Pelodiscus sinensis: one gene and its partners. The protein of the gene in region 2 interacts with the protein of the main gene of each other region in a biochemical or structural test. Links are inferred from orthologs where the notes say so. Each region holds a gene or a part of one and is shown on either strand. Other genes may lie near its edges. The genes, in order: UBE3A, UBE2D3 and TRIM25.

What was found.
Region 1: the proteins of UBE2D3 (region 2) and UBE3A form a complex in vitro, tested with the Homo sapiens proteins (5 studies listed by BioGRID, with this or other methods). The link is inferred for Pelodiscus sinensis from reciprocal best matches to the Homo sapiens genes UBE2D3 and UBE3A.
Region 3: the proteins of UBE2D3 (region 2) and TRIM25 form a complex in vitro, tested with the Homo sapiens proteins (3 studies listed by BioGRID). The link is inferred for Pelodiscus sinensis from reciprocal best matches to the Homo sapiens genes UBE2D3 and TRIM25.

What each region holds. Positions count from the first base shown.
Region 1 is NC_134711.1:227,996,014-227,999,760, reverse strand, and holds the start of UBE3A (ubiquitin-protein ligase E3A), read right to left. Parts: upstream 2,641-3,747; 5' UTR 2,269-2,640; intron 1-2,268. UniProt on the Homo sapiens protein: E3 ubiquitin-protein ligase which accepts ubiquitin from an E2 ubiquitin-conjugating enzyme in the form of a thioester and transfers it to its substrates.
Region 2 is NC_134715.1:25,177,755-25,181,501, forward strand, and holds the start of UBE2D3 (ubiquitin-conjugating enzyme E2 D3), read right to left. Parts: upstream 2,285-3,747; 5' UTR 1,781-2,284; coding exon 1,757-1,780; intron 1-1,756. UniProt on the Homo sapiens protein: Accepts ubiquitin from the E1 complex and catalyzes its covalent attachment to other proteins. In vitro catalyzes 'Lys-11'-, as well as 'Lys-48'-linked polyubiquitination.
Region 3 is NC_134730.1:18,911,956-18,915,702, forward strand, and holds the start of TRIM25 (E3 ubiquitin/ISG15 ligase TRIM25), read right to left. Parts: upstream 2,943-3,747; 5' UTR 2,839-2,942; coding exon 2,236-2,838; intron 1-2,235.

The DNA of each region.
Region 1 (3,747 bases), on a different chromosome or scaffold from region 2:
ACTGGTACTTTTCAACTTGAAAAAGAGATAGCTAAGGCGGGATACAATAGAGGTCTATAAAATTGCCGTGGAGAACATAAATAAGAAAGTATTATTTACTCCTCATAACACAAGAGTTAGGGGTCACCAAATAAAATTAAGAGGCACAGGTTCAAAACAAACAAAAGGAAGGATTTCTTCACACAACACAGTTAATCTGTGGAATTCTCTGCCAAACGATTTTGAAAGCCAGGAATAAAACAAAATTCAAAAAAGAACAAGATAATTTCATGGAGAGGTCCTTCAATGGCTGAGCAGGTATGCATATCATGCCCTTAAATGGCTCTAGCCTGTTTGCCAGAAGCTGGGAACAGAAGACATCAAAGGGATCACTTGATTATCTACAGGAAACCCCCAAGTTGCGACCGCCCAAGTTATAACCCCTGTACTTATAAAAATGGTTGTAAGAGTGGAGGGGGCTGAAAATCCCAGAGGTCTGTCCTCAGCCCCTCGTTTACGATGGCACACAGCACCTATCGCAAATGAGGGTTTGAGTTATGATGCCCCCGACTTGTGACACTTCCCCGGGAATTGACTGTGTCACAAGTTGGGGGACACCTGTATTCTGTTCATGCCCTCTGAAGCACCTGAACACTGGTCACTGTTAAAAGATAGGATACTGGGCTAGATGGATAACTGGTGTAAGCCAGTATTACCATTCTTATGCATTTTAATTTAAAATTTTTTGGGAGGTATTAATACTGTAGTGATGGAAAACAGAAATGTAGACAGAACAAATATCTTCTTTTAAACTCCACTGTGATGAGTAGTGCACTAGATTACCTTATGATATCATTATCAATTGTTTTAAGAGTGGTTTAATATTAGAACAGTTGGCACAAAACTAGAGTTATTCTGACAGAAATGTGCAAATAAAAGTGACAAGAATTAGAAATAATTAAAATCTGCATATTCAGATAAGTCAATATGATGGAAGTTATTTTGGAAAGTCATTCAAATTAATTTCATATACAAACATTTGAGAGATTTAAGTTACAAGATAAATGTGATTACAGTTCACACACACTAATAAACATTTTCATAGTATCATAAAATGATAGGTTTAATAGATACAGATTCTGTTTCCCAGCTTTTTTGTGTTTTCAGTTCACATGATGTATTATATTACTTGTTCTATCTGGTAGCACACAAAAACTGCTTGGCACGTCTCAATAAAATACAATAAAAAAACCCATCAAGATTTCTGCCCTAAAACTGTTCCTCCACCACTCCCCCCGCCACAGATACCTTAGGTTTGATGTCCTGTACCAATAAGACTAAGATCCAGCAAATTGATTCTAGCAGGCCTGTGTGTGTGTACACAGAGGCCCACTGAAGTCCATACACACAGGTGTCAGATCACATAGTGATGCCCAGAACACATTTCCAGCCCAAAGATGCTTACAACCTCAAGACAAAATTACTAAGAAAGTATAGGAAAGCTTTCCTTAGCTGTAACAACCTTAACAAGATCAGCATTTAAGGTTTGTGTTTATAGTTTACATACACACAACTGATCAATTTAATAAAGTTTGTCTATAGCTCTAGCAGTTGTACTTTAAAGATTGTGTCTCAGTTCTTTATAATTTGGAACCCACAGAAGAAAGCCTCATGGCCTGGGTTCACAGACTGAAAGTAGGTGAGTGGACAATGCTGTGAAGCCCGGGGTCAGGGTGGAGGCCAGGGTGTCAAAAACCCAGCTTCAGCCCACACCACAACTTCTAAGCACTGTCTATGCAGCAGTTTTTAAAGCACCAGAACAAGCCCTGCTATCCAAAGCCTGTTGCTCCCGGGCTGGGACGCTTGCTCCTGGTCAGTTCCAAAAGGCCGCACAGACTTACCCAGCAAGGCTAAGTGACGTGCCCAAGGTCACACAGGAAGTGGGTGACAGAGCAGGGCCCTGAAGTCGCCCCAGCTACTGCCCAAAGCACTGGGTCGTGCTTCCACTTCACCCCCCGTCCCCAGTCACAAAGCAGCAGCCCCATGTTTGGGAGATCTCCTACATCATGTACCCCCGGACACCCCGCACTCTACCCCCGCACCCGCCGGCCTCGGGGCCACCACTGAGCCCCATCTCCCGCCGACCGCCCCATCCCCGCCCCACCCCGACTGCGGAGGCCTCCCTGCAAAGCCCAGCGACGAAAGCGAAACTGCCCCAGCAGGGACACGCGGGCCTGGGCCCCGCGGCGCCCGTCTCCGGGCCGCGCCTCCCCCCGCCCCGCTACGCACCTGTGCGCTGCGGCCTGCTCCCCGGCGCGGGCCTGACGCTGCAGCTGCTGCCCCCAGGCTCATGCGGGGCCCGCGCTGCTCTCGGGGCGGGGGAGGCGGCGCCGCTGCTGCCTGGGCCGGGCCGGGCTGCGCCGCGGGGACGGGAGCTGCGGCCTCGGCGGCTCCGGAGGGCGGGCGAGGCCGGCGGGGCGGGCTGGGGGTCTGGCAGTGGCGGCGGTCGGCCGGGGAGGTGGGCAGGGCCCGCTCTGAGCCTCTCTCACCCCGAGCCCAGCGCCACCATCTTGGGCGAAACGCGAATATCGGCGCGGCGCAGCCTCGGAGGACTCGCGGGCATAGCAGGGTATCCCGGCGTGCGCCGCGCTCCTGATCAGGACGCTCTACCTTCCGCCCGGAACCATAGAGTCCCCCACCTTTCCCATTGGACAGGGGGTGGGGAGGAGGGAAGGACACGGAAGTTGGCCCTGCCGGGTGTCGCGGTGGCCATCTTGGGGTCGGGCAGTTTCCTGCCGCCAGGGGAGACGCGCTTACAGTCGCCTCCACCCCCCTAGTTAGCGGGGCCGGGAGTGGGGGAGGGGCCCTGAGGGGTAAGGAAGGGGGGAGGTGCCAAACCCCGCCCCGCGCAGAGGGGTGTGACGTGCGCGCGCGCCGGAACAGGCTGCAGCGGCGCGAGCTCGACCGTTAGCCCCGCGCGCCTTGTGTCGCCTCCACCCTCCCGCCCGTGGAACGGCCTCGCCGCGCGGCTCTCCGGGGGCTGCCAGATCGGGCAGCTCAGGAGACTCGGCCCCTCCCCCCCGCCATGTCCAATCCCGCCACTGGCCGCCGGCAAATGTCAGGGCCCCGGCGCAGCAGCAGCGCCAAGTGGTAGCTGCAGCCGTGGGAAGTGAGCGCAGCAGCGCCTAGAGCGGGGCCCTTCCCTCCCCCGCATACAAGTGCTGGATGGGCCTCGTTGCGGGAGAGAGGGGAGGGGGGATTGGGGACACGCCAGGCCAGGCCAGTGTTTCGCTATTTTATTTGGCCGAGGAACCCTTTTCAGCTTTCCAGAATTTCAAGGAGCCCCTAGGTTTGTTAAGCAAAAAAAAAAAGGGGGAGGGGAGGGAAAATCCCCACCAATGCATGAAAATCACATTCCTTCCTCACGACCCGCCCCCCCCTTTCTTGAGGCCTCATTGCTCTGTTCCCCTCCTCTCCATCACTTGCCATCCCCAGCCCTTATCCACTCTCCCTGGGTTGAGATAGGAGGTGCGGGCTCTGGGGTGGGAATGAGGGATTTGGGTGTGGGAAGGGGTGAGAAGTGCAAGCTCTGGGAGGGAATTTGGATGCAGGAGAAGGGGATGCTGGCTCAGGGAGGGGGCTCCAGGCTAGGGAGTGCTGGGCTCAGGTGGAAGGTTGGGTTGCCGAGCATGTCACAGGCCTGTGGATGTGAGGGTGCAGGAGTTTGGGTTGAATATGTGAGGGGCTCAGGGCAAGGAGGTTGTGAGA
Region 2 (3,747 bases):
CAATCAAGAATAAAGACCCATTTTGCTAGGCACTATAGATTGTATGGACTGTCTCCTATTATTTTATAATCTAAATAGACTTCTTGATACCAAATTATTTTTAAATATGTTCTAAGGCTCCAGTTAAAAAGAGACTCTAAATCTGAGATTTTAATGATTTATACTTCAAAAATTCCTCAGACCTACACAAGTCTGTGTTAAGGATGCATCTCATCTGCATGAGTAGTTGGTGACAAAGCATATCAGGGAGTCTCCCAACTGCTTCTTAATGTAAGTGATACCATCCACAGTTACAGTGAAAACAAGTTTGGTGGCAGGTTTAAAACACTTTCAAAATAGTTTCTGGTAAAAGTATAATTTTAATTAAAATCTACACATTCTCCTACTTAAAACTTAACAGTTTTGAATTTAAGAGTTTTGTTATTCTTGAGTGTGAACAGTAAATTAAGACACAGCAACAATGTTATATTCCTTTTAGTAAAAATATGTCCAGTTTCTGTAATATCTAAGAAAAAATATGACAAACCCCAACAACTATATTCAATTTGACATATTCATTGTATCATTTCAAGGCACTATGAGTTTCTGGTTGGTGACAAGCTGAAAAGTGACAAGGAGAAAATCATCTATCCAGTCTCAAAATATTTACAATGCCATAATGCTTTTAAGTACACATCAACAGCAACTCAGAGCTTAAGTAAGCTATTTAGCTGTAATCATGCTTGTCATTAGGACCCCAACTGTTGGGAAGCTTGGATGCTGCACTAAACACTAAATTATTGTTCACAGGAACGTCACAACTGAAATTGAGATTTATAAGTTACCTAACACCCACCTTCTGCCACTAACCTTGCTCTCTGGAAGGTTAAACTTCCATCACCTCAACATTTTTTTTGAGTTAGCTGTAAAGTTACTCCACCCTACAGGATTGTGCAAGAACGAAATGCTCAAAACATCACACAACAACGTCCTGCGCCCAAAGAAAAGGATGAGGTAAAAAGCCATCCCTCTACGACATCATGAAAGCCGAGGGTTTCTAGGGGAAGTGTAAACGTAGAGGAATAGGAGCAGCTGGTGTTCAGAGAGAGTCGACGGGAACGTGGACGTGTGTGTGTGTCATGTTATTGCAGAAAGCAAGAGACCCGGAAAGAGCCTGAACTAGGCAAACCCGCCGCCATCTTACAATGCGGGAAAGAAGTTAGACGCCAGGGAAGAGAAACCAATTTGGCCGGGAGGCGGATTGCCCCCTCGGCAGGAGCGAGCCCAGCCCGGGCTGTCGCTGCGATGTAAATAAAGCCACAGCACAGTCGGGCCATCGCTAAGAGCGGTAACGCAAGAGATGGAGGCGATTAGCCCTGCGGCTCGCAATGACACTGACATTTAGCGGCCCTGCCCCGGCCCTCCGGACACCCCACCACGTCCCCGCGGGGCCATGGGCTGCCGGCGGGTTCACCGCGACCTTCTCGGGGTCTGCGACAAAGAGCGCGCCGGGGCGACATCGCTCCCCCTCCCCAACTCGCCCCGCGCAGGCAGCCCGGGCCCCGGAAGGAGATCAGCCGCCCCCCGCCCGCTAGGCCCCCTGCTCCTCGCCAGAGACCGGGGCGGAGGGAGTCACTCGCCCCGGCCGGAGACCGCCCGCACTCCCCAGCCGAAGCCGGGGCGCCGCGCACACCGCAGGCGACAGGGCCTGTCCCCGCGGTGCGGGACGCAGAACCCCGAGCCCCAGCGCCGCCTCCCCGGCCCGCCCCTCGCTCACCTTGTTGATGCGTTTGAGCGCCATTGTGTGTGTGTTGCCGCCGCCGCCCGCCGGGCCTGTCTCTGCGCCGCGGTGACTCCGGGCTCCGCTCGCGTTGACGGGGAGGGGGGGCAGTTGCGTCTCTCCTTCCTCCGGAAACAGCCAGGGGCGCCCGCTCGCAGGGAGCGCAGCCGCCCACAGCCTCCGCCCGACGGGCGGGTCCGGCCCCTTCTCCGGAGATCGCCTGGCTGCCACCGCCGCCGGCCCGCCTCGGAGAGGACAGACGATGCGCTGAGCCTCCCCCACCACGGGAGAAACCGAGCTCAGCCCCCGCGCACTCCCACCACCGGTGGCGAGGCCGAGAAAGAAAGGAGGGGCGAGCAGGCACCGCCCCCCGCTCCCGGGGCGGGCCACTAAGGAACCTCGCCCAGAGCCCCCCCTTCCCTCTCACTGGAGCGGGGAGGGACGCGCTAACCGCCGCTGCCGCCTGCGAATCCGCGCACGCGCTACTGAAACTAGTGGGGGGGGGGGGGGTAAGACAGCCCCAGGCTCGTGCAAGGCCGGTGCACGCACCTTCTATAGTTGCGGGTGGGGTGTGAAGAAGAGGGAAGGCCAGAGGGGTGACTCTCGCGAGAGTAAGACTGCAGGCGTCCCAGATCTGGGGGCGGAGACCGAACGCCGCTTCTCCAATCAGAAGGGCGTGCTCCCCCTCTTCGCGGAGGCTGTGACACAGGGGCTTCCGGCGTACGAGACCGGGCTAATTTCCCCCATCTCCCTACGCTTGAGTGGGCGGTTTGTCGGTTATGGAGAAATCCCCAGAGCGAAAGCTCTTGCGGGGCCTTCGAGTCTCTCGTTGTACCCGGCTCGTCGTGGTCACTCGCCCGTCCCCGCCTCTGGGGGGGGAGGAGGGGAGTTCGTCTGTGCGTGTACACAAAATGGCCGTCGCGACCGGATCTACGTTCGTGAATCGCTAAGGCGCAGTACGGCGCTGGTATCCCTCCGCGCAGCCGCTGCGAAGGGGAAACAGATCCCAGTAAGGCCAGAGGGGGCGAGCGAGTGGCAGGGATGCCCCTCCCCTTCCTGTTTGTCTCGCGGGCCCTCGGGTGTGTTTCCAAGTCCGTGTAGACACAGCGGAGCACGTCGAGGTCGGGCTCGTCCTCCGCTGGCTTCACTCGTCACAGCCCTGCGGTTACTGCTGCTTCGCTCCGGCCGGGCTGCGGGGACACCGCTCGCAGGAGGAGGGCCCGTGCCCCACGCTGCAGCCTGGTCCTGTCCCCCGCCTTCTTCCCGCTCGCTCTCTCCCACCCCCACTGTAACCGGGCTGGGGTGGGACAAGGCCGCAGGCCGGGGACGAGGGATGTGAGAGCCAGGTGGAGAGTCTGAGGCGAAGCGGGTCGGAGCGCTGGAAGGCCCCAGGCTGTGGGGTGGGCGGGTGAGGGGGAGGAATGGATTCAGGTTGTAGGGTGGTGCAGGCCGGGCTGGAATGTGGGAGTGTAGGCTCTCGGGTGGGGGGGGGGCTGGGGAAGAGGAGTTTGAGGTGCAGGATGGGATGGGGCTAAAGTATTCAGAGGGCCAGGAGAGTTTCCAAGCTGGGGCAGGCAGAGTGGGTTGTGACGCCAAGGGCAGTGCATGTGGGAGGGAGCTTAAACGTGGGGCATAGAGTGTAGGAGATGGTTTGGAGTAACAGCCCCAGGTTGTGCTTACCTCAGGTGGCTTCTGGGAAGTAGCTAGTATGTCCCTCTGGCTAGATGGTGTTTTGGCCATGCAGCTCTATGTACCACCTCTATCCACATGCACCGCCCCTGCTGTTTCCACTGGCCAGAGTTCCCAGCTCATGGAGTTGCAGAGCTGGTGCTGGAGGCAGTGCATGGAACTCCATGGATGTCCCTATGCCTAACAGCCAGAAGGATATGCTGGCCAGCTGCACCACAGGGAGTTGGGTAGGGAGCTTGCCAGTTCTATGCCAAATGGATTTTTAACTACTGACCAGACTGTCATCACCAGAGTCCCTT
Region 3 (3,747 bases), on a different chromosome or scaffold from region 2:
GTTCCCCCCCCCCCCACAACCACTTCTCTTACTTAGTCACTCCTTGGCCTTTTCCCCAGACAATCCAACACAAGTCCTAACTCATGCTGGGTCCGGGAGTGCTGTTATAAGAAGGGCAACCTATGAATGAGATTGAGGCCACCCCAATCATTACTAGGGATGTGAATGGTTAACTGGTAAGCCTCACCCTTAATGAATCAGTGTTGGTTAATTGGTAGGGGCTGGAGCAGTTTGGGCAGGGAGCTGCTCCAACCACACGGGGCCCACCATAAAGAGGCACTGCTTGCTTCCTCCCGCTCCTCAAAAGCCCTTAATACAGCTCGCAAAGATCCAGCAGCTAAAATACGTTAACATAGCTCCCTACAAGCTTGGGATTAGACTGTCCCTCTTAGGCATCCTTAGCACTGAAGAATAACGGAGGCCTCCTATGCCAAGTTCGAAAGCAGTGCCACTTCCCCCATAACAGCTAAAGCCTGAATAATCCAAGCCTCATTTGCTACTAGGTTGATTCACACATATACAAAGCTCCCACTGTGCCCATGTGCTCCAGAGCCTGGCTTGTATCCTGATGGTCACAAGCTGTTCTCTTAGAAAAGGAACAGGAAGAGAGAGAGATTTTACAGGCATCTTACACATTACAAAGATAGCTTCCCCAATTATCACCTCTAATACTATTAACTCACAGACATTTCCCCTTCCCCACCTCTAATATCATTAACTCACTGGCATTCACCTTCCTTCCCCCCCCCCCCCCCCACATCCCCCTTCTGTTCTGCAATGTGATTTGTCCTTTTCATGTGTGTTCATTTTTTTTTAAATTGTATCCTTTGGTATATATGGTTGTGACTGTTTTCTTCCATTATTTGATCTGAGGAAGTGGGTCTGGCCCACGAAAGCTCATCATCTAATAAACCATCTTGTTAGTCTTTAAAGTGCTACATTGTCCTGCATTTTACAGGCAGTGCAACTTAAAAGCCAGACCTCTGAAGTTTTGTTAGACACTAAGGCTACGTCTAAACTACACCCCTCTGTCGGCAGAAGGATATAAATTAGACACATCGAAAGTGCAAATGAAGCGGGGATTTAAAAATCCCATGCTTCATGTGCATAATCGCATCCTGGCGCAGTTTTGAACAAGCGCCATTTCGAAACTGAAACCACGGTTTAGACATGGTGTTTTGGAAAAACTGCGTTTAAACCACGGTTTCCGTTTCGAAATGGCGCTTGTTCAAAACTGCGCCAGGACACGATTATGCAAATGAAGTGCGGGATATTTAAATCCCCACTTCATTTGTGCTTTCGAAACGTGTAATTTACATCCCTCTGCTGACAGAGGGGTGTAGTTTAGACACACCTTAAGTCTGTGTATGGTCCTGATGGTACTTTTAGGGCCTGCAATCCCTATCACCACAATCTGCTGTTCCTAAGGCCTGTCCAGGATCTTGAGAAGGATGAATGGTGCATCTTCTAAGACAGGGATTCTCAACCTTCTTTTTGACCCCTCCCCAACAAGCTATACAAATTCCACAGCCCACCTGCACCACCACAACTATTTTTCAATACATAAAAGCCAGGGCTGGCAATAGAGGATAACAAGCAGGACAAGTACAACACAGGGGGCACCCCGAAAGCTGAATAGCTCAGACTTCAACTTCAGCACCCAGTTGGTAGATCTTGGGGTCCCAGGCTTCTGCTCCACACAATGGGGCTTTAAACTTGCTGGGGTGCAGAGCAGAAAGTCTGATGCCTGCCCTGATTGGTGGCCCCCTGGAATCCTGCTCAGAGCATGCTCCCCCCCACCCTAGACCCCTGGCTGAAAAATGCTGATCTAAGACAGTGCTCTCAAGTGCCAGACCATGGACTGGGGCCAGTCCCTGAGCTCTCTGATTATCAAATAGGTTGAGAAAGAGGGCAGATGTTCCGTAGGTGGGAGCAGTCAGAGAACAGCAGCGCAAACACAGCCCAGGGGCAGAGTTCCCTGTAAGCTGGGTCACTCAGGAGAGATCCCAACACCTCCCAGCTGATCAGCAGAGCGCTCACTAGCGAGACTGCGTGTTTCTACTGGTGGTGCATGCACATGCCTGGGTGCGCATCAAAATTATTCCGCACGGGGATGGGAGAGATTAGAGGGAACATTGCTAGGAGTCCCATGCAAGAGGTTCCAGAGAAGGGTCCCGGCCAGTGCTGATCAGCACCTCTGTCCAGGCATCCCCCTCCTCTCCCATCCCTCCTCACCTCCTTCTCCGCCTTGGCCTCCTGCACGGGGCTGGTGGCACAGGTCTTGTGGCTGACCAGGCACACGCAGCAGATGCAGGTGGCGTGCTCGGGGCAGTAGAACTCCAGCAGCTTGTTGTGCTGCTGGCACTTGCGCTGCTGCAGGTCGCGCAGGGGCAGGCGCAGCTCGTGGTCCCGGAAAGCCGGGCTCTCCTGGTGGGGCCGCAGGTGCTCGTGGCAGAAGGAGGCCATGCAGGTGAGGCAGGTCTTGGCCGCCGCGGCCTCCAGGCAGGTGTCGCAGGGCACCTCGGAGCCGCTCCCCTCCCGGCATTTCTTCTCCTCGGCCGGCTCGCCGGGCTGCGAGCTCTGGAACTGCTCCACCACCCGGCACAGCACCGTGTTCTTCTGCAGCTCGGGCCGGCGCTGGAAGCTGGCCCGGCACTGCGGGCAGCTGAAGCCCTGCTGGATGCCGCTCCAGGTGACATCTAGGCAGGGCCCGCAGAAGTTGTGGCCGCAGGGCGTGGTGACCGGGCAGTCGAAGAGGCACAGGCAGATGGAGCAGGTCAGCTCCTCTTCCAGCCCGGCCAGGCAGGGCAAGGACGGCGCCCGCAGTAGCTCCGCCATGGCTCCTGCCACGACCTGGGCAGCTGGGGATGGAAAGTGAAACTCAAAGCAGAGGCGGAGCAGCTGGAAGTTCCTGGAAATCACGTGGAAGGGGGAAAGTTCAGCGCGGGGGGGCCTCCCTAGCAAACCCCTCCCTGCTAGGCGCTCAGGCTGCAAACTTTCTCCCATTTCTGCTTATTTACGCTCCCCCTTCCGCAGCCTGGATTTTCTGGTGCGCAGTTCTGCAATGTATTGACTTTCCTCTTTACATAGAATCACAGGGTTGGAAGAATAGTGATAGAGATGTAGCCGTGTTAGTCTGGGGTAGCGGAAGCAAAATGCAGGACAATGTAGCACTTTAAAGACTAACAAGATGGTTTATTAAATGATGAGCTTTTGTGGGCCAGACCCACTTCCTCAGATCAAATAGTGGAAGAAAATTGTCACAACCATATATACCAAAGGATACAATTAAAAAAAATGAACAAATATGAAAAGGACAAATCACATTGCAGAACAGGAGGGGAATACAGGGGGGGAGAAGGAAGGAAGGTAAAGTGTCTGTGAATTGATGATATTAGAGGTAGGGAGAGTGGGATGTTTGTGAGTTAATGGTATTAGAGGTGATAATTGGGGAAACTATCTTGGTAATGAGATAGTTCAAATGTTTGTTGGAAGAGACCTCAGATGGTCATGGAGTCCAATCAGCTGCTAAAAGCAGGACCAATCCCACCTAAACCATCCCAGAAGCTTCAGGGGGTAGCCCAGTTAGTACAGGATAAACTTAAAAAACAACAAATGGTCTGTAGGATTTTATAGACGAACAAAACATAAGATGGTATCATGAGCTTTCCTGGGCACAGCCCACTTCTTCAAATGACTGGAACTCCGGTCATCTGAAGAAGTGGGCTTTGCCCACAGAAACTCATG